Linked DNA regions of Saccharomyces cerevisiae S288C. The gene in region 1 interacts genetically with each later gene. Each region holds a gene or a part of one and is shown in the gene's direction. Other genes may lie near its edges. The genes, in order: ALG9, POL4, OLA1 and YBP1.

What was found.
Region 2: mutations in ALG9 (region 1) and POL4 together harm fitness more than expected from each alone (negative genetic interaction), as found in Saccharomyces cerevisiae (2 studies listed by BioGRID).
Region 3: mutations in ALG9 (region 1) and OLA1 together harm fitness more than expected from each alone (negative genetic interaction), as found in Saccharomyces cerevisiae (2 studies listed by BioGRID).
Region 4: mutations in ALG9 (region 1) and YBP1 together harm fitness more than expected from each alone (negative genetic interaction), as found in Saccharomyces cerevisiae (2 studies listed by BioGRID).

The regions. Positions count from the first base shown.
Region 1 is NC_001146.8:235,496-240,794, reverse strand, and holds ALG9 (dolichyl-P-Man:Man(6)GlcNAc(2)-PP-dolichol alpha-1,2-mannosyltransferase), read left to right. Parts: upstream 1-3,131; coding exon 3,132-4,799; downstream 4,800-5,299. Other genes in the region: PPN2 (putative serine/threonine-protein phosphatase), read right to left, coding at 1-464; ssDNA-dependent ATPase MGS1, read right to left, coding at 794-2,557; ADE12 (adenylosuccinate synthase), read right to left, coding at 5,081-5,299. UniProt on the Saccharomyces cerevisiae protein: Mannosyltransferase that operates in the biosynthetic pathway of dolichol-linked oligosaccharides, the glycan precursors employed in protein asparagine (N)-glycosylation.
Region 2 is NC_001135.5:137,570-143,182, reverse strand, and holds POL4 (DNA-directed DNA polymerase IV), read left to right. Parts: upstream 1-2,249; coding exon 2,250-3,998; downstream 3,999-5,613. Other genes in the region: CTO1 (Cto1p), read left to right, coding at 1,013-1,966; PGK1 (phosphoglycerate kinase), read right to left, coding at 4,187-5,437. UniProt on the Saccharomyces cerevisiae protein: Repair polymerase. Involved in gap-filling in DNA nonhomologous end joining (NHEJ) required for double-strand break repair. Seems to conduct DNA synthesis in a stepwise distributive fashion rather than in a processive fashion as for other DNA polymerases.
Region 3 is NC_001134.8:289,174-294,010, reverse strand, and holds OLA1 (Obg-like ATPase), read left to right. Parts: upstream 1-2,145; coding exon 2,146-3,330; downstream 3,331-4,837. Other genes in the region: ETR1 (enoyl-[acyl-carrier-protein] reductase), read left to right, coding at 1-1,134; putative thioredoxin peroxidase SCO2, read right to left, coding at 3,661-4,566. UniProt on the Saccharomyces cerevisiae protein: Hydrolyzes ATP, and can also hydrolyze GTP with lower efficiency. Has lower affinity for GTP.
Region 4 is NC_001134.8:655,076-660,715, reverse strand, and holds YBP1 (Ybp1p), read left to right. Parts: upstream 1-3,115; coding exon 3,116-5,140; downstream 5,141-5,640. Other genes in the region: PYC2 (pyruvate carboxylase 2), read left to right, coding at 1-2,009; ATG12 (Atg12p), read right to left, coding at 2,324-2,884; HPC2 (Hpc2p), read right to left, coding at 5,399-5,640. UniProt on the Saccharomyces cerevisiae protein: Involved in oxidative stress response and redox homeostasis. Required for hydrogen peroxide-induced oxidation and nuclear localization (activation) of YAP1. Functions probably in concert with HYP1/GPX3, the actual YAP1 modifying enzyme.

The DNA.
Region 1 (5,299 bases):
AAAGTTAAAGGTGTCATTAATTTGGGGCGTCTTACCCATTTCGAGAAGTCTGGGTTTAAATAGGCCATCATGACCAATATTTCATGATTGCCCAAAACGCACTTGACTTGATCCTTGTGATTTAGAATATACGACACGACCTTGTCTGAGTCCGGGCCCTTGTGAATAAAGTCACCCAGCAATATCATTGTTATATTTTCTCCTAGTCCTCCAATCTTGTCATCAATGAGTTCTATGAACTCATCATAGTTACCATGAACGTCACCAACAAAAACGTACTCCTTATTTAAATCTGTTACATGCTCAATTTTCTTCAAGGTGCTAATTGTAGGCAATAAGGAAACTGGTGGAGACAACCGAGGGTTATCAAACTTGAATATATATAGTGTATAAACGCAGCATGCCACAAATAATATCAATGCTGTACTAAGTGTAGCGGCTCGTCTTTTCCGCTTATCTTCCATTTTTGCGTATCTATGCTCCTCAAGCCTGGCTCATTTTACAAGCTGGAAGGTCGAGGAAAAGGAAGAACTAATTCAAGAATAATGTGCTCTTCTTATAGGATGCGTATATGTTCTAATATATCTCAGATGGGCCCGCGAGACTTTTCTAGCATGAAAAAAAAAGGTGGATCCTTGATTATCTAAAATTATAGTTTATATCGTTCATGCTGCACAAAAACGTGCCAGCAATGCAATGCGCCTCAAGCGTAAAAAAACAAGCGGCATTGGCCAACAGAGAAAAAAATATGAATTGTAGACGCGGCATTGAGAGAAGTATGGAAGACCCTTGACTAACCCTGATATGACTGTCTCAAGTCAGGATCTTCTTTGTCTCCTAAATGTTTGCCGTCCAGGAACTTTAAGTCAGTTTTATTTGGACATTTCTCGAGCACTTCTTTGGGAAAGTAGTCTTGTTGGACTTTTCCTTCAATATAATCGGGATTGTACTTGTAGCCTTTATGATAACCCAGCTCCTCCATCAATTTGGTTGGCGCATTTCTGATATGCATCGGTATCTCACTGCTTGCTAAACTGTACATGTTCTCGCTCATCATTGCCCTTAATTTCTTCCAAGCTCTATATAGTTCTACTGACTTTGGTGCCCTAGCCAAAGCAACACAACATTGCGCCAGTGCAAGGTCTGCCTCTGGCAAACCAACTTTCATTACTGCGTCATGTGCCGCGACAGCCAAGGGCAATAATGAACTATCCCGTAATCCGATATCTTCAGAAGCTATTCGAATCATTCTTCGGGCAACATACAATGGGTCCTCTCCTCCCTGCAACATTCTTGCTAAATAGTACAGTGAGGCGTTTTCGTCCCCACCTCTAATGGATTTATGAAACGCAGAGATTGTATCATAATGGTTATCTCCCTTTGGGTCATAGTATGTATTCAACCCGTTGCTGCTGTTGTTCTTAATTATGTCTCGTACATCATCGATAGATAATTCTTCCTCGTCGGCCTTGCGCTCTCTTGTTGAAACTTCGATCATTTCCAACATATTTAACGCCCTCCTTGTATCACCCACCGACAGATCTACCACGTACTCCAGTATGCTTCTAGACAATTTCAAAGGATTTTCAATATTCCATACTTGTTTCCTGCATTTATTCAATAATGCAATTCCTCTTGATAAAACAATACACAGTTCGTTGACATTCAGCTTTTCTAGGACAAAAATCAGACATCTGCTAATGAGAGCATTGTTCAGCTGAAAACTTGGATTTTCTGTCGTTGCACCAATCAAAATAATGTCACCGTTTTCTACGTGTGGCAATAACAAATCCTGTTGAACTTTATTGAATCTGTGAATTTCATCAATAAAAAGTACAGTTCTTCTTTTGGTCAATTGATATTCCTTTTTTGATTTTTCAAATATACCTCTCAATTCTTGCGTATTTGCCTTTGTCGCACTTGTTTCGATCATGAAGTACCTGGAACCAACATTTGATTCATTACTACTGGTTGTCGCAGTTTTCGTTAATAGTCTAGCTAGTGAAGTCTTTCCTACACCTGGAGGGCCCCAGAGTATCATAGATGGTATAGTCCCTTGTTTTATGTATTTGAACAATGTACCATTATCTTGAGAGAGAATGTGCTGCTGACCTACATAATCTCTTAATTCTTTTGGCCTCAATTTTTCACTAAGTGGCAAATGGCTTATTTTCTGCAACCATCTGCTTTCGTAATCGTTGTGAAGTTGATCTCTGCTCGAAGCAGGCTCCACTATTGATTTCGCAAAATCCGTGGATGGTGCTGCCTTAAATCTTTTGCTTTCATTTTCAACAATCTCAATATCATCACTCTCGCTCTTAAGACCTGGCTTAATTTCATGGTCCTTATTTTCAAGATCAATGAATTTCTCTGAGTTAGCTTGTTTCCTCTTTTTTGGGCCTGCCAAAAGACTTGACACCGTTTGTGGCCTACTCGAAGGCTTTGACTTTTCCTTGCCACATATGTCAAGATGAGAGTTGATTAAGGAAAAAAAGACTTTTCTAGAGCAAATTGGGCATGATATGAGCTGTTCTACAGATGTCCTCTTGTTACTCATTGAGACTGTGCGATCCTGTTTCAGATCTTACCGCTAGCGTTCTTCTGCTAATAAGCTATTTTTTACCTGTCGATGACCTACCTTAAAACACGTTTCGTTTAAGACAACGCGTACAGTTTCACAAGGAAAGCAACCGATGATTGAATGTCAATTAAAAAACAAAAAACAGATGTTAATTTTAACTGGGCTCTCAATATCAAACCGTTATAGTATATGATGTATCTAAACGACCACTTATCACTTGGATATGTTGTCAAATCCGTTTTGCTCTTGCGCATGTTATACCTACTTTTTACTATCTACGGCGGGCATCCTGACCCGGCTTATTTACTTGAAAATGCAACAATAAGTCCGTTACGCAATATTGAATTTTGATGAGAACCGTTCTGCGATATTCAGAACTGTCAATACAAGCTTGAAAAAGGGACAACTGGATATACAGGGGTGTTTTTGACACAATAGAGAATACTTTTTCGTTTTTATTGTACCATTACGGCTACTCAACGAGATTTCAAAACTTTAGCTGTATCGAATTGGCTCTTTTTTCACCCTGAAGCACAATTATAAGGGAACGATGAATTGCAAGGCGGTAACCATTAGTTTATTACTGTTGTTATTTTTAACAAGAGTATATATTCAGCCGACATTCTCGTTAATTTCAGATTGCGATGAAACTTTTAATTATTGGGAACCATTAAATTTATTGGTACGTGGATTTGGTAAACAAACCTGGGAATATTCACCCGAGTATTCTATTAGATCATGGGCTTTCTTATTACCTTTTTACTGTATTCTTTATCCAGTAAACAAATTTACTGACCTAGAAAGTCATTGGAACTTTTTCATCACAAGAGCATGCTTAGGCTTTTTTAGTTTTATCATGGAATTTAAACTACATCGTGAAATTGCAGGCAGCTTGGCATTGCAAATCGCAAATATTTGGATTATTTTCCAATTGTTTAATCCGGGCTGGTTCCATGCATCTGTGGAATTATTGCCTTCTGCCGTTGCCATGTTGTTGTATGTAGGTGCCACCAGACACTCTCTACGCTATCTGTCCACTGGGTCTACTTCTAACTTTACGAAAAGTTTAGCGTACAATTTCCTGGCTAGTATACTAGGCTGGCCATTTGTTTTAATTTTAAGCTTGCCATTATGTTTACATTACCTTTTCAACCATAGAATTATTTCTACCATCAGAACCGCATTCGACTGCTGTTTGATATTTTCATTGACTGCATTTGCTGTGATTGTCACTGACAGTATATTTTACGGGAAGCTTGCTCCTGTATCATGGAACATCTTATTTTACAATGTCATTAATGCAAGTGAGGAATCTGGCCCAAATATTTTCGGGGTTGAGCCATGGTACTACTATCCACTAAATTTGTTACTGAATTTCCCACTGCCTGTGCTAGTTTTAGCTATTTTGGGAATTTTCCATTTGAGATTATGGCCATTATGGGCATCATTATTCACATGGATTGCCGTTTTCACTCAACAACCTCACAAAGAGGAAAGATTTCTCTATCCAATTTACGGGTTAATAACTTTGAGTGCAAGTATCGCCTTTTACAAAGTGTTGAATCTATTCAATAGAAAGCCGATTCTTAAAAAAGGTATAAAGTTGTCAGTTTTATTAATTGTTGCAGGCCAGGCAATGTCACGGATAGTGGCTTTGGTGAACAATTACACAGCTCCTATAGCCGTCTACGAGCAATTTTCTTCACTAAATCAAGGTGGTGTGAAGGCACCGGTAGTGAATGTATGTACGGGACGTGAATGGTATCACTTCCCAAGTTCTTTCCTGCTGCCAGATAATCATAGGCTAAAATTTGTTAAATCTGGATTTGATGGTCTTCTTCCAGGTGATTTTCCAGAGAGTGGTTCTATTTTCAAAAAGATTAGAACTTTACCTAAGGGAATGAATAACAAGAATATATATGATACCGGTAAAGAGTGGCCGATCACTAGATGTGATTATTTTATTGACATCGTCGCCCCAATAAATTTAACAAAAGACGTTTTCAACCCTCTACATCTGATGGATAACTGGAATAAGCTGGCATGTGCTGCATTCATCGACGGTGAAAATTCTAAGATTTTGGGTAGAGCATTTTACGTACCGGAGCCAATCAACCGAATCATGCAAATAGTTTTACCAAAACAATGGAATCAAGTGTACGGTGTTCGTTACATTGATTACTGTTTGTTTGAAAAACCAACTGAGACTACTAATTGATATACAGGTTCTCTAAAACAAGCAGCAAAAAAAAAAAAAGCCTGCTTACTACTTGTTTTGAGCGTTTTTTCTTATCAATAGTTTTAACATTTTTCCACGTAAATATATATATATCTATATGTTTTTATGCATTTTATAAAAAAAATATGTTTGTTCATTACTCTTTCATTTTTTCATTGAAAACTTTTAAAAAATGTCATGATTAGTTACATTTCGTATATATAAAACTATAAAACTGTGAAAAGAAATTAAATTGAAGTTTGTCATGGATGTCCAACGCCCTATTTAATTTCTTTATGCAACATGCTTTCTCTTGCGGGGCCGGTACCAACCCATTCAACAGGAACGCCAACAAAATCTTCAATATATTTTAAGTACTTCTTTGCGTTTTCCGGCAAATCTTCATACTTTGTAATTTTGGTAATATCTTGATCCCAACCTGGCAAAACTTTGTATTCAACTTCAACTTTACCAAGAATATTCAAGTCTTCAGGGAACAA
Region 2 (5,613 bases), on another chromosome or scaffold:
AATAATGCCGTGGTGTTAAACTACGACCGAGCTATAGCAACAGCATCGGCCACACACTCTCTCTTATTCTTATGTTAATAGTCGACCTTTCAAGGATGTTCTTGTTGGAATAGAAATCCACTATCGTCTATCAACTAATAGTTATATTATCAATATATTATCATATACGGTGTTAAGATGATGACATAAGTTATGAGAAGCTGTCATCGAAGTTAGAGGAAGCTGAAGTGCAAGGATTGATAATGTAATAGGATAATGAAACATATAAAATAGAAGAAGGGATAATCGTAATATTAGTATGTAGAAATATGGATTCCATTTTGAGGATTCCTCTATCCTTGAAGAGAACTCCTAGTATATTCCGTATACATAATATTGTTGCTTTTCTCGAATCATGTATCAAGATTACTAGCGCAAGTGGTTTAGTGGTAAAATCCAACGTTGCCATCGTTGGGCCCCCGGTTCGATTCCGGGCTTGCGCATCTTTTTTACTTTATATACTATTTTTTTTTTTTTTCTTTTTCCCAAATTTTTTCATGAAAAATTTGGCGGAACGGTACATAAGAATAGAAGAGATTCGTTATGAAAATTTTCTACTCTCTTTCACATTTTTTTTTTCATAAGAATTAAAAAAATAAGCTTAATGCCCTCTTTGTACGATGGTGTCACTCTAAAATTATTTACGTAATTTAATTGGATGTGATATCAAGCACTAGTTTTGTTTGGAGGAGCAGAGATTGAAAGCCTAGCTTTTACACCGGTTTGAGTCGGTTCCTTCGTTTTCTTAGTTGGAATTGATATAGAAGTGTGTGGACAATCGATTTGCAAAACTTTTTATTTTATGTATTACTACTGAGCTTGTTTATCTGTATACTTTTTTCTTATTATTATGTAGTTAGAGGTTAGTTCTTATCGTTTTCTTTAAAAGCGACCTTTCTTCGCACAAAGCAATGTTGACAATCGAGCCAATGCATTTAACAATTGCAGTAACCAGAAGCGAACAGTGGAGGATATGAAAACCATTATTATTTCAGATTTTGATGAAACAATCACAAGAGTTGACACAATCTGCACCATTGCTAAATTACCGTATCTACTGAACCCGCGGTTGAAACCTGAGTGGGGTCATTTTACCAAGACATATATGGACGGATACCATAAATACAAATACAATGGAACGAGATCACTGCCGTTGTTATCTTCAGGCGTACCTACGATAATTTCGCAGTCTAACTTCAATAAGTTGTTTGCGGACGAATTAAAATATCAAAATCATAACAGGGTTGTTGAGTTAAATAGTGTAAATGAAATTACAAAACAACAGATTTTTAAGTCGATTTCTTTGGATCAAATGAAAACGTTCGCCAGAGATCAGAATCACGAAGATTGTTTACTAAGAGATGGTTTCAAAACGTTTTGCTCTTCAGTTGTCAAAAATTTTGAAAGTGATTTTTACGTTTTATCTATAAATTGGTCAAAAGAGTTTATTCATGAAGTCATTGGTGACAGAAGACTTAAAAATAGTCATATTTTTTGTAACGATCTAAAAAAAGTTAGTGACAAGTGTTCTCAAAGCTACAATGGTGAATTTGATTGTCGGTTATTGACAGGCTCTGATAAGGTCAAGATACTGGGTGAAATATTAGATAAGATCGACTCAGGTTGCAATAAAGAAGGAAATTCTTGCAGCTATTGGTATATAGGGGATAGTGAGACTGACTTGTTGTCCATATTACATCCATCTACTAATGGTGTACTGCTAATAAACCCGCAAGAAAATCCTTCCAAATTCATAAAAATTACCGAAAAGATTATTGGTATCCCAAAGGATAAAATCTCGAGTTTTGAAGCTGATAATGGTCCAGCGTGGTTACAGTTTTGTGAAAAGGAAGGCGGTAAAGGTGCCTACCTTGTGAAATCCTGGGACTCTTTAAAAGATTTGATCATGCAGGTAACAAAAATGTAGAAACGGATGAAATCCTGTATATTCAAATTTATATAACCAGGACGTTGCAGTGCTAATAATAATGGAATACCGCTAATTTTCCTCCTGTTTTTTCTTTTTTAAGTAAAGATAAAATAGTATTTCACTTGCACTATTCTTCTATCTCCGTAATCGGTCTCGGTCTAAAATTACTTTGAGATGTTCAAATACATGGGGCTAATAATTTTAAGGGCTTGCAAAGAACTTATATGTCACAGTGATAATAAGTAAAGGATAAACATGCGACCTGTTAGACAAATCGCACATGTCTCTAAAGGGTAAATTTTTCGCCTTTTTACCTAATCCTAACACATCTTCCAATAAGTTCTTTAAGAGTATATTGGAGAAAAAGGGCGCCACAATTGTGTCAAGTATTCAAAATTGTCTTCAATCTAGCCGTAAGGAAGTGGTCATTTTGATTGAGGACTCCTTTGTTGATTCTGATATGCATTTGACTCAGAAAGATATTTTCCAAAGGGAAGCAGGCTTAAATGATGTCGATGAATTTCTTGGTAAGATTGAACAGTCAGGCATTCAATGTGTGAAAACCAGTTGCATCACAAAGTGGGTCCAGAATGATAAATTTGCGTTTCAAAAAGATGATTTGATTAAATTTCAACCATCCATTATCGTTATATCAGATAACGCTGATGACGGACAAAGTTCTACTGATAAAGAGAGTGAGATTTCAACTGACGTAGAAAGTGAAAGGAATGATGACAGCAACAATAAAGATATGATACAAGCTTCAAAACCTCTTAAGCGACTCTTACAGGGGGATAAAGGAAGAGCTTCCCTTGTTACTGACAAAACGAAGTACAAAAACAATGAATTGATTATCGGAGCGTTGAAAAGGTTAACAAAAAAATATGAGATCGAAGGTGAGAAATTTCGTGCAAGAAGTTATAGACTGGCTAAACAGTCGATGGAAAATTGCGATTTCAATGTTCGTTCCGGTGAAGAAGCACATACTAAATTAAGGAATATCGGGCCTAGTATTGCCAAAAAAATACAAGTTATATTAGATACGGGAGTTTTACCAGGTTTAAATGATTCAGTGGGATTAGAAGACAAGTTGAAATACTTCAAAAATTGTTACGGCATTGGGTCGGAAATTGCTAAACGCTGGAATCTTCTAAATTTTGAAAGCTTTTGTGTTGCAGCTAAGAAGGACCCAGAGGAGTTTGTATCAGATTGGACAATTTTATTTGGTTGGTCATATTACGACGATTGGTTATGCAAGATGTCTCGGAATGAATGTTTCACACATTTAAAGAAGGTTCAAAAAGCGCTGCGTGGCATTGATCCTGAATGCCAAGTCGAATTACAGGGAAGTTATAATAGGGGCTATTCCAAGTGTGGTGACATTGATCTTTTATTTTTCAAGCCGTTTTGTAATGACACGACCGAGTTGGCAAAAATCATGGAAACGCTTTGTATTAAGTTGTACAAGGATGGCTATATCCATTGTTTTTTACAGCTAACGCCAAACTTGGAAAAGCTATTCTTAAAAAGAATAGTGGAGAGATTTCGTACAGCGAAGATTGTTGGGTATGGAGAAAGAAAGAGGTGGTATTCTTCTGAGATAATCAAGAAATTTTTCATGGGAGTCAAATTGTCTCCAAGAGAATTAGAAGAACTGAAAGAAATGAAAAATGATGAAGGCACATTGTTAATTGAAGAAGAAGAAGAAGAAGAAACAAAATTAAAACCGATTGACCAATATATGTCTCTGAATGCCAAGGATGGAAATTATTGCAGAAGATTAGACTTTTTTTGTTGCAAGTGGGATGAGCTTGGAGCAGGAAGAATACACTATACTGGATCTAAAGAGTACAATAGATGGATAAGAATATTGGCAGCGCAAAAAGGCTTCAAGCTTACACAACACGGTTTATTTCGAAATAATATCCTTCTCGAAAGCTTTAACGAACGCAGAATTTTCGAGTTATTAAACTTAAAATACGCTGAACCCGAACATAGAAATATCGAATGGGAAAAAAAAACTGCATAAAGGCATTAAAAGAGGAGCGAATTTTTTTTTAATAAAAATCTTAATAATCATTAAAAGATAAATAATAGTCTATATATACGTATATAAATAAAAAATATTCAAAAAATAAAATAAACTATTATTTTAGCGTAAAGGATGGGGAAAGAGAAAAGAAAAAAATTGATCTATCGATTTCAATTCAATTCAATTTATTTCTTTTCGGATAAGAAAGCAACACCTGGCAATTCCTTACCTTCCAATAATTCCAAAGAAGCACCACCACCAGTAGAGACATGGGAGATCTTGTCAGTGACACCGTACTTCTTAGCGACAGTGGCAGTGTCACCACCACCAATGATGACGGTGTTACCAGCAGCAGAGCTCTTGACAACTTCGTCTAACAAAGCCTTAGTACCAGCAGCGAACTTTTCGAATTCGAAAACACCTGGTGGACCGTTCCAGACAATGGTCTTAGCCTTTGCAACAGTAGCAGCAAACAACTTTCTAGATTCTGGACCATTGTCCAACCCTTGCCAGCCAGCTGGAATACCTTCCTTGTCAGTGACAGTCTTGGTGTTGGCATCAGCAGAGAAAGCATCAGCAATGATGAAGTCGACTGGCAAGACGACTTCGACACCCTTGGCCTTGGCCTTTTCCATCAACTTTGGAACGATTTCAGCACCAGCCTTGTCGAAGATGGAGTCACCGATTTCAGTGTTTTCCAAAACCTTCTTGAAGGTGAAAGCCATACCACCACCAATGATGATAGAGTCGACCTTGTCCAACAAGTTGTCAATCAATTGAATCTTGTCAGCAACCTTGGCACCACCTAAGATGGCCAAGAATGGTCTGGTTGGGTTCTCCAAAGCCTTACCGAAGTACTTCAATTCCTTTTCCAACAAGAAACCGGCAGCACGTTGTGGCAAGTCGAAACCGACCATAGAAGAGTGAGCTCTGTGAGCGGTACCGAAGGCATCGTTGATGTAAACATCAGCCAAAGAGCTCAATTCGTGTCTGAACTTTTGAACATCTTCCTTGGAAGCCTTGACCTTTTGACCATCGACCTTTCTGGAACCTTCTTCTTCGATGTGGTAACGCAAGTTTTCCAACAAAATAACGGAACCTGGGGCAGAAGCCTTGACAGCGGCTTCAACTTCTGGACCGACACAGTCGTTCAAGAAGGTGACATCCTTACCCAACAATGATTGCAATTCCTTAGCAACTGGAGCCAAAGAGTATTTTTCGTTTCTTTCACCGTTTGGTCTACCCAAGTGAGAAGCCAAGACAACGTATCTTGGGTGGTGTTCCAAAACGTACTTGATGGTTGGCAAAGCAGCAACAATTCTTTGGTTAGAAGTGATCTTCTTACCGTCCAATGGGACGTTGAAGTCAACTCTGATGAAGACACGCTTGTCCTTCAAGTCCAAATCTTGGACAGACAACTTTGAAGATAAAGACATTGTTTTATATTTGTTGTAAAAAGTAGATAATTACTTCCTTGATGATCTGTAAAAAAGAGAAAAAGAAAGCATCTAAGAACTTGAAAAACTACGAATTAGAAAAGACCAAATATGTATTTCTTGCATTGACCAATTTATGCAAGTTTATATATATGTAAATGTAAGTTTCACGAGGT
Region 3 (4,837 bases), on another chromosome or scaffold:
ACATTCAAACGTTACATGTCGTCCTCAGCTCATCAGATTCCCAAGCACTTCAAATCGCTCATCTATTCAACTCATGAAGTTGAGGATTGTACCAAGGTTTTGTCAGTGAAAAATTATACGCCTAAACAAGACTTATCTCAATCAATTGTGTTAAAAACTTTGGCCTTTCCCATAAACCCTTCGGATATCAATCAGTTGCAAGGAGTATACCCGTCTCGTCCAGAAAAGACATACGATTACTCCACAGATGAGCCAGCCGCTATCGCCGGTAATGAGGGTGTCTTTGAAGTTGTTTCTTTACCTTCGGGAAGTTCCAAGGGAGATTTGAAATTGGGTGACCGAGTTATCCCATTGCAGGCAAATCAAGGGACTTGGTCCAATTATAGAGTTTTCTCTAGTAGTTCTGATTTAATCAAGGTAAATGATTTGGATCTGTTTTCTGCGGCAACTGTATCTGTTAATGGTTGTACCGGTTTCCAATTAGTATCAGACTATATCGACTGGAACAGTAACGGTAATGAATGGATTATCCAAAATGCCGGTACATCTAGTGTATCAAAAATAGTTACGCAAGTAGCAAAAGCTAAAGGGATCAAAACATTAAGTGTTATACGTGACCGTGATAATTTTGATGAGGTAGCAAAAGTTTTGGAGGATAAGTATGGTGCTACGAAGGTTATTTCCGAATCGCAAAACAACGACAAGACTTTTGCCAAAGAAGTATTGTCCAAGATTTTGGGTGAAAATGCAAGGGTGAGGCTTGCCTTGAATTCTGTTGGAGGTAAATCCAGTGCATCAATAGCACGTAAGTTGGAAAATAATGCTTTGATGCTCACTTATGGAGGAATGTCAAAACAACCTGTAACTTTACCAACATCTCTACACATTTTCAAAGGCTTGACATCCAAAGGGTACTGGGTGACTGAAAAGAACAAAAAAAACCCCCAAAGCAAGATTGACACCATCAGTGATTTTATCAAAATGTATAATTATGGTCACATTATTTCACCAAGAGATGAAATTGAAACTCTTACCTGGAATACTAACACTACTACTGACGAACAGTTACTAGAACTAGTCAAAAAAGGTATAACTGGGAAGGGGAAGAAAAAAATGGTTGTTTTAGAATGGTAAGGGCCTTAGCATTGCTCAGAGTTAGACAACCACCAAAGATAGTATTCCTCTTTATGACATCGAGTATAGTTGCTATATAATATATACCAAGACATTAAAAAATATATGCCAGTGCTATCTTTGTAGGAGCTAATAAAAGGGGACGTCGACCCTTCAATGTATATATCGATCCTTTCACATTAGTCAGGACGAGATAATGAGCATGATGTATAAACAAACGGTAGTTAATACCAACGATAAGTTATACAACTACTGTACAATAAAAAAACATCACAATAGCAATACAGGAGTCCTATTCGCTACTTCAACTTGACAAGATCTACTAGATATAGAAATATCTAGCTTAATCAACAATTTTCCTCACTGATTGCTTCCTCCGAATGCCATTATTGGCTTTCTTGGTTCTTAAGCATGATATTACGTATAAATAGCCATTATATCAATTAGAACAAAAGATTACGTAAATGCAATTTTTCCTGAGAATGGCGTTCGAAGAAGGGCGCGTAACTCGTAGAAACCTAAGAATTCTCGTAGAGCGAAGTCTTCGGTAGGAAACGTAGTAGATTTGCAGAAGATACGCCTGTTAAACTGAAGAAAACAAATCTGAGTAGTTTCCCTTCTTTGGAGTTGAGCTTTACAACAAGTTCATATTGTTGGTGCCAATTTGCCTTGAGACAACTAAGGCAGAATGCAGTTGTTGCGTGTTACTTAATTCTCCGTATTGAATGACCACGCACAATTCCTAATTTTTTTTTTTTCTCGAAAATTCTTTTTTTTTTCACTGAAAAAATTTTTTCAAGGGCCATCCCAGCGATTTTATGACCCAAAAGGAAGGATGCAGTGAAAGTCAACTTACGTCTTCTCTCTCATACCTTTCGTTGCGAGAAATCGTATTTAGTAGTGTATTCAGTTGATAATTAGTACTAATTTTTTATTGCATTTTGCCTTTTTTAGCTTTTTGTGTTACTTCTAGTATCCGTAAAAACAATCAAATAAATAGCACTGTAAAACATGCCTCCAAAGAAGCAAGTCGAAGAAAAAAAGGTCTTATTGGGTCGTCCAGGTAATAACTTGAAAGCCGGTATTGTCGGTTTGGCCAATGTTGGTAAGTCTACCTTTTTCCAAGCCATCACTAGATGTCCATTGGGTAACCCAGCTAACTATCCATTCGCTACCATTGATCCAGAAGAAGCCCGTGTTATTGTCCCATCTCCAAGATTTGATAAGTTGTGTGAAATCTACAAGAAGACAGCTTCGGAAGTTCCAGCTCATTTGACCGTTTACGATATTGCTGGTTTGACTAAGGGTGCCTCTGCTGGTGAAGGTTTGGGTAATGCTTTCTTGTCTCACATCAGATCAGTCGATTCTATCTACCAAGTCGTTCGTTGTTTCGATGATGCTGAAATTATCCACGTTGAGGGTGACGTTGATCCAGTTCGTGATTTAGAAATTATTAACCAAGAACTAAGATTGAAAGATATTGAATTCGCACAAAAGGCTTTGGAAGGTGCTGAAAAGATTGCCAAAAGAGGTGGTCAATCTTTGGAAGTCAAACAAAAGAAGGAAGAAATGGATTTGATTACGAAAATCATTAAATTGCTAGAGAGTGGTCAAAGAGTTGCTAATCACTCCTGGACTTCAAAAGAAGTTGAAATTATCAACTCCATGTTCTTGTTGACTGCTAAGCCATGTATCTATTTGATTAATTTATCTGAAAGAGATTACATCAGAAAGAAAAACAAGCATCTGCTAAGAATCAAGGAATGGGTAGACAAGTACTCTCCAGGTGACTTGATCATTCCATTCAGTGTTTCTCTAGAAGAAAGACTATCTCATATGTCCCCAGAAGATGCTGAAGAAGAATTGAAGAAACTGCAGACAATATCTGCCTTGCCAAAGATTATCACTACCATGAGACAAAAGTTAGATTTGATTTCCTTTTTCACCTGCGGTCCAGATGAAGTTCGTGAATGGACCATCAGAAGAGGTACTAAAGCTCCACAAGCTGCTGGTGTTATTCATAACGATTTAATGAATACCTTTATTTTGGCTCAAGTTATGAAATGTGAAGATGTCTTCGAATATAAGGACGATTCTGCCATCAAGGCCGCTGGTAAGTTGATGCAAAAGGGTAAAGACTATGTCGTTGAAGACGGTGATATCATTTACTTCAGAGCTGGTGCTGGTAAGAATTGATTTCGTGCACTAAAGTTGACTTTTCTTTATTTGGTTTAGTTCCCTACTATATATCATCATAGAAATTTTCAACATGATTTTCTTGAAAGAGAAACGAAAGGAAAAAAGCAATCTCGCGAGTGGATGGCATCGGATTTTATGTATGTGTGTATGTATGTTTATTATTCCCGCATGTTTACGCCCTTAAGCCCAATTAATAATTTGAACTGACAAGCATAATCATTTGACTTTCATTTTTTTTACTATTTTTTTCTATTTACAATGTAACTGTTAAATTGAACGACCCATAAGTTCGGTATCCTAGCTGTGTCTTTTTCTTTTTTTTTTTGCTCAATTGAAGATAAAAGAGTACCATTTTTTTGACCTACGCTCCCGTTCTTCCTTTGGCACATACGCCTGAATTTGTTCACGAATCTTTTCGAGACCAGATTGCTCATCGTAGTTTCTTCCCAACGCATCGATAAACTGTCCTTCAGGGTCGATCAAATAGAAAAATATCGAATGGTCCACTAAGTAATCCTGGTTGGGCTTGACATCACGTGGAGTTGAAAAATATACCTTGTATTTTTTGCATACGCTTTTCACTTGGTCGTACGTACCGGTTAAACCAATGATAGCTGGGTGAAAATCGCTTAAGTACTCTTTCAAGACATCCGGTGTATCTCTTGCAGGATCACATGAGATAAACAATGGCTGTATCTTTATATGGTCTTTATCATCTAATTCAGAAATCCAATACGTTAATCTGTCAAGCTCTTCTGGACAAATGTCGGGGCAATGACTGAATCCAAAGTATAAAATGGAAAACTTACCCTTCAAATTCTCCTCAGTGAAAGGCTTACCATTAAAATCTGTTAAATTGAAAGGACCGCCAAGTGCTACTGAACCGTAAGCTCTGTTAGCATCTGCTTCCTTTTCAGTTTCTAGCAAGCGTCTTTTTCTTGATAAATAGGCATACGTCCCACCACTTAGCAACAATAGAGCAATGGTGGCCTTCCATCTGGAAAATTGAAAAAACCTGGTTCTAATAGGCTCTGGTTCATTGATTTCATCACCTAGTTGTAGCCTATCTAGTGGTTGTCTTGCACTTGGGCTTTCCTTGTTATCACTCCTCAAACAACATCCCGTTGAAAACCCTCTTCGATATGCGCCTCCATTATAAAAGAGTCCTTTTATTGAGACGTTCGCTTGTCTGAATAGGGAACGACAAGCATATTTTCTTGAACTATTCAACATTTTACTCTCGCTTCCCAAATTCCCCTTTCTATGGTGATATTATAAAAGATCCTGTAAGCTGCTGTTTTACGAAGGTATTGTAGACGATCCGTAGCCCTCTTTAGCAATTGTTTGACTACTATCGATGGGACTTCTCGAAATTCATACTTTGTTAGGTTTTCTTTTTTATCCCTAAAAAGAGCGAAAGGATCAAGCAGAAAATTAAAACAATAGGCTACATCATCGAAGTTTCAAAGACCGGCATATCCGTCCATTTTTGAAAACACCCCAC
Region 4 (5,640 bases), on another chromosome or scaffold:
CAAGTGTCCCCCATTTGCACGATGCTCAGGGCAATGTCATCAACGTTACAAAGTCTGCACCACCATCCGGATGGAGACAAGTGCTACTGGAAAAGGGACCATCTGAATTTGCCAAGCAAGTCAGACAGTTCAATGGTACTCTACTGATGGACACCACCTGGAGAGACGCTCATCAATCTCTACTTGCAACAAGAGTCAGAACCCACGATTTGGCTACAATCGCTCCAACAACCGCACATGCCCTTGCAGGTGCTTTCGCTTTAGAATGTTGGGGTGGTGCTACATTCGACGTTGCAATGAGATTCTTGCATGAGGATCCATGGGAACGTCTGAGAAAATTAAGATCTCTGGTGCCTAATATTCCATTCCAAATGTTATTACGTGGTGCCAACGGTGTGGCTTACTCTTCATTACCTGACAATGCTATTGACCATTTTGTCAAGCAAGCCAAGGATAATGGTGTTGATATATTTAGAGTTTTTGATGCCTTGAATGATTTAGAACAATTAAAAGTTGGTGTGAATGCTGTCAAGAAGGCCGGTGGTGTTGTCGAAGCTACTGTTTGTTACTCTGGTGACATGCTTCAGCCAGGTAAGAAATACAACTTAGACTACTACCTAGAAGTTGTTGAAAAAATAGTTCAAATGGGTACACATATCTTGGGTATTAAGGATATGGCAGGTACTATGAAACCGGCCGCTGCCAAATTATTAATTGGCTCCCTAAGAACCAGATATCCGGATTTACCAATTCATGTTCACAGTCATGACTCCGCAGGTACTGCTGTTGCGTCTATGACTGCATGTGCCCTAGCAGGTGCTGATGTTGTCGATGTAGCTATCAATTCAATGTCGGGCTTAACTTCCCAACCATCAATTAATGCACTGTTGGCTTCATTAGAAGGTAACATTGATACTGGGATTAACGTTGAGCATGTTCGTGAATTAGATGCATACTGGGCCGAAATGAGACTGTTGTATTCTTGTTTCGAGGCCGACTTGAAGGGACCAGATCCAGAAGTTTACCAACATGAAATCCCAGGTGGTCAATTGACTAACTTGTTATTCCAAGCTCAACAACTGGGTCTTGGTGAACAATGGGCTGAAACTAAAAGAGCTTACAGAGAAGCCAATTACCTACTGGGAGATATTGTTAAAGTTACCCCAACTTCTAAGGTTGTCGGTGATTTAGCTCAATTCATGGTTTCTAACAAACTGACTTCCGACGATATTAGACGTTTAGCTAATTCTTTGGACTTTCCTGACTCTGTTATGGACTTTTTTGAAGGTTTAATTGGTCAACCATACGGTGGGTTCCCAGAACCATTAAGATCTGATGTATTGAGAAACAAGAGAAGAAAGTTGACGTGCCGTCCAGGTTTAGAATTAGAACCATTTGATCTCGAAAAAATTAGAGAAGACTTGCAGAACAGATTCGGTGATATTGATGAATGCGATGTTGCTTCTTACAATATGTATCCAAGGGTCTATGAAGATTTCCAAAAGATCAGAGAAACATACGGTGATTTATCAGTTCTACCAACCAAAAATTTCCTAGCACCAGCAGAACCTGATGAAGAAATCGAAGTCACCATCGAACAAGGTAAGACTTTGATTATCAAATTGCAAGCTGTTGGTGACTTAAATAAGAAAACTGGGCAAAGAGAAGTGTATTTTGAATTGAACGGTGAATTAAGAAAGATCAGAGTTGCAGACAAGTCACAAAACATACAATCTGTTGCTAAACCAAAGGCTGATGTCCACGATACTCACCAAATCGGTGCACCAATGGCTGGTGTTATCATAGAAGTTAAAGTACATAAAGGGTCTTTGGTGAAAAAGGGCGAATCGATTGCTGTTTTGAGTGCCATGAAAATGGAAATGGTTGTCTCTTCACCAGCAGATGGTCAAGTTAAAGACGTTTTCATTAAGGATGGTGAAAGTGTTGACGCATCAGATTTGTTGGTTGTCCTAGAAGAAGAAACCCTACCCCCATCCCAAAAAAAGTAATTTTTACTCGTTAATTATATTTTATGACATCTGAAAATACTAGCTGTACTATATATGGCGTATATTTTATCTAGTTATGTTCCCATGTATATTTAAATGCCAAATAGAAAGTAATCAAACACTTTCGATGAAATACGTGCTAACTGTGTTTCTTCCTTAATGCTTTCACTTACCATGTCTCCATTCTCCATTTTCTTCTTGAGTGAAAATGTGAGTTTATAACGCTCAAGTACGTTAACTACTCTATTTAATATCGTACGGGATTTTTGATCGACTGTAGGTTTTCTTCTTAGACCATTCCAGCGCCCGGGTATTTAACCAAACGCTACGGATGCACAATAACTTACAATAAGCTCATCATTAGTCTTGAATTGCATCCAAAGTTCACCAATATTTTGCTGCGGACTTGGCGCAAACGAATTATTTATATAACAATAAACATGGTCCATTTTCAGCCGTCTCTTAAGAAATAAAATAACCATTGCAAAAGACTGTGACATTGATATTTTACAAACAGATGGTTTTAACTGCCCAATAGAACCAATGGGCTGAAATTTTATCTGTATCTTTTGTATGTTTTTTTCGTCTTTATGGCTTTTTTGTTTGCTTGTTTGTGCATTCGTTTTGATTGTCTCTTCCTGTTCATAAGTGCCACTAGAGGAATCTTCAACTTGCTGGTCGACAGAAATGTCACTCGCCAAACCAAGCTGAGACAATCTCCTGCTAAAAAGTTCCAATCTATTTTGAACGGTATGAGGAGATGATCTTAATTCTTGATTATTTCTGGATCTTTCCATTGCCGTTCCATTATTTGTGGATATGATGGAGCTTTCGTCACTTTCTGTTTCATTTTCGCTCTCTAGGATCCTACTCATACTGTCATTGGTTCACTCTACTGTAGAATATACAGTTAGGGATGTACGTTTATTTCTTCAGCTCAAGTAGCTTTCTGTCAAACACTAAGCGGGCATCCTTCATAAGTACGATTCTTTAAATTTGACAATGTAAAGGAAAAAAATAAAGACTAATTGCCGGTGAACATTATTAACAAATAAACACTGAAAAAGAAAATCACCCTAGACATTCAATACGATACTCAGACACTAATGGAACCAATTGATGACATACTTTTTGAGGTTACTGATGCGTTCAAAACTCAGAAGGAGGATCTTCTTGAGTTGGTAACATTGATTGATATATATGGCGAGCAAGTTAACCAAGAGGGGAGCTATGAAGAAAAGACGAGATTCATTGAAACTTTGAATACATTGTTAGAGGATAATCCGAGTACTACTGGTGAAATCGGTTGGGATCTGCCTAAGGGATTATTGAAGTTCTTGTCAAAGGATAATGTCGATGTAAATGGAAGACTAGGTACGAATATGATTGTCCAAGGTGTAATGAAGTGTTTCTATGCCATCTCAATCCAAGGCGAGCCCAAAAAATGTTTAATTACTGGGTTGGAGTTGCTTTCATCCCTTTGTTCAAAAGATTTTTCCAAGAGTGATCAACAGAATAAGGAAGACTTTGTTGATAAAAAGGCCAATACGTTACCTCCTGAAGGAGTAATCGAAAATTCCTCTAATCGAAAAGATTTTCCATCCTACGGTGAAAGCAAGAGTTCAAATGAATTTTTCTTGAAGTTGAAATCCTACATTTTATTTGAATTCATAGGGGCGAGTCTGAAAAGGATTTCTACTCTGTTTCCTTCGAAATATCTGGGAGCTGCTGTGTCAACAATTGAGAAATTTGTGTATAGTCATGCGGACACTTTTGAAGATGCCCTTTTCCTTCTTCGTAGGGTGTACACATTCTGCAGGAACTATATTCCCCCTGATCCACCAAAAGATATACAATTGAACGAAGATTTTACTCGAGAGATGTTTGATAAAGTTGTGGAGGAAGAAAGTGAATTACAGGTTAGACTATTGCGTAGGCTTTGTACTTTTGGTATTTCGACACCCATAAAAACTGTCACCACCAATGCCGACGTGAAATACTATTGTGCACTAAATCAACAGAAGTTTGAATTATCTGCATATTACACCGAATATCTTGAGCTATTTTGCAGGTATTACCAAATGGCGTTCTCGCTTGATGTTGATATAGAGGGAGAATTTCAGAATGTGATAAAAGAATGTAGGATTATTTATAAGTCTGTACCCCAGGAGATTTCCGCTGTTAATGATGAAGCAAAGTTGGTTTTGGAAAGAATGGTATATAAATTGGCTTATACATTCGAAGTACAAAAGGCCGCTAAAGAAAAAAATGTTGGTTTGGACTATAATGGTGTAATATTATTTTCTGGTATCCACTATTTGGAAACCAATCAACATTTAGTAAAGGAAATGAATATAACGGATGCCATTTATCTCTACTTGAGATTTACAACTCCATCATTATATTCTAAAGTTTACTATAATGTAGCAGTTGAATCAGTTAGTCGCTACTGGCTATGGTATGCTATTACAACCGAGCCCTTGGAGGATGTAAAAAAAGAATTGAAGAATCTTTCAGTGTTTGTTACAAAAACATTATTGCATGTTCTACTTCAAAAGAACTGTATTCAGGTCAATCAGCAGTTAAGAATGATAACTTTCACTCTTCTCACCAGATTACTATGTTTAATACCTGAAAAAGTTGCATTTGAGTTTATCTTAGATGTGCTTAAGACATCTCCCCTTCCATTGGCTAAGACGTCCGTATTATGTGTTTTTAAAGACCTTTCAAGGCGACGCATCTCCACCAAGGATAACGATTCTGAGACGGATTTGATTGTCGAAAAATTATCCAAACTGAAGGTCAATGATAGTAACAAAGCTCAGCAAAGTAACATCAGACATTATATCCAACTAGATTCTTCCAAAATGAAAGCTGTTCATGACTGTTGTCTGCAGACTATCCAAGATTCATTTACGGCAGATGCCAAGAAGAGTGATATATTATTACTGCTAACTTACTTGAATATTTTCATTGTGCTAAAAAAAACATGGGATGAAGATCTACTGAAGATTGTTTGTTCGAAGATTGATTCTAATTTGAAGTCAGTCGAACCTGATAAACTTCCGAAGTATAAGGAAATTGTGGATAAAAACGAATCTCTAAATGACTATTTTACTGGTATAAAATGAAGTTCTTATCTATTTCATTTCCACCAAGATATTGAACATGCCATACTCGTTTCTGGTTTTATAGCCAAGTTTATAGATTCTCTAAGGTGAAATTATCTATTTTTTCTTTCACCATATTATCGGACATAGATACATGGATAGAAAAGCATTCGCTCGGAAAAATCTTCATATAAACTGACTATATACTTTCAGATATAGGCACACTTTATTTCATTTTTTATGTCGTTCAGGGATTTTGGAAAATCTCTGACACAATGCTTATTTATTTTTAACACCACCTCTTTTCATGGTACCATTTGCACGCTCCAAACTTGCATAGTGACCTTTTTCGATTAATGGACCAAAGTAAACAAAAAAACCGTCCTTGGTGGCAGCACGCTGTTCCTCCCACAATAACTCCGAATCATCAATGAACGGATCTTCAACGTCATATTTACCAATCAAATTTTTACCTTTCATAGGATGCGACTTCTTCTTCGGAGAGATGGTGGTAGTTACAG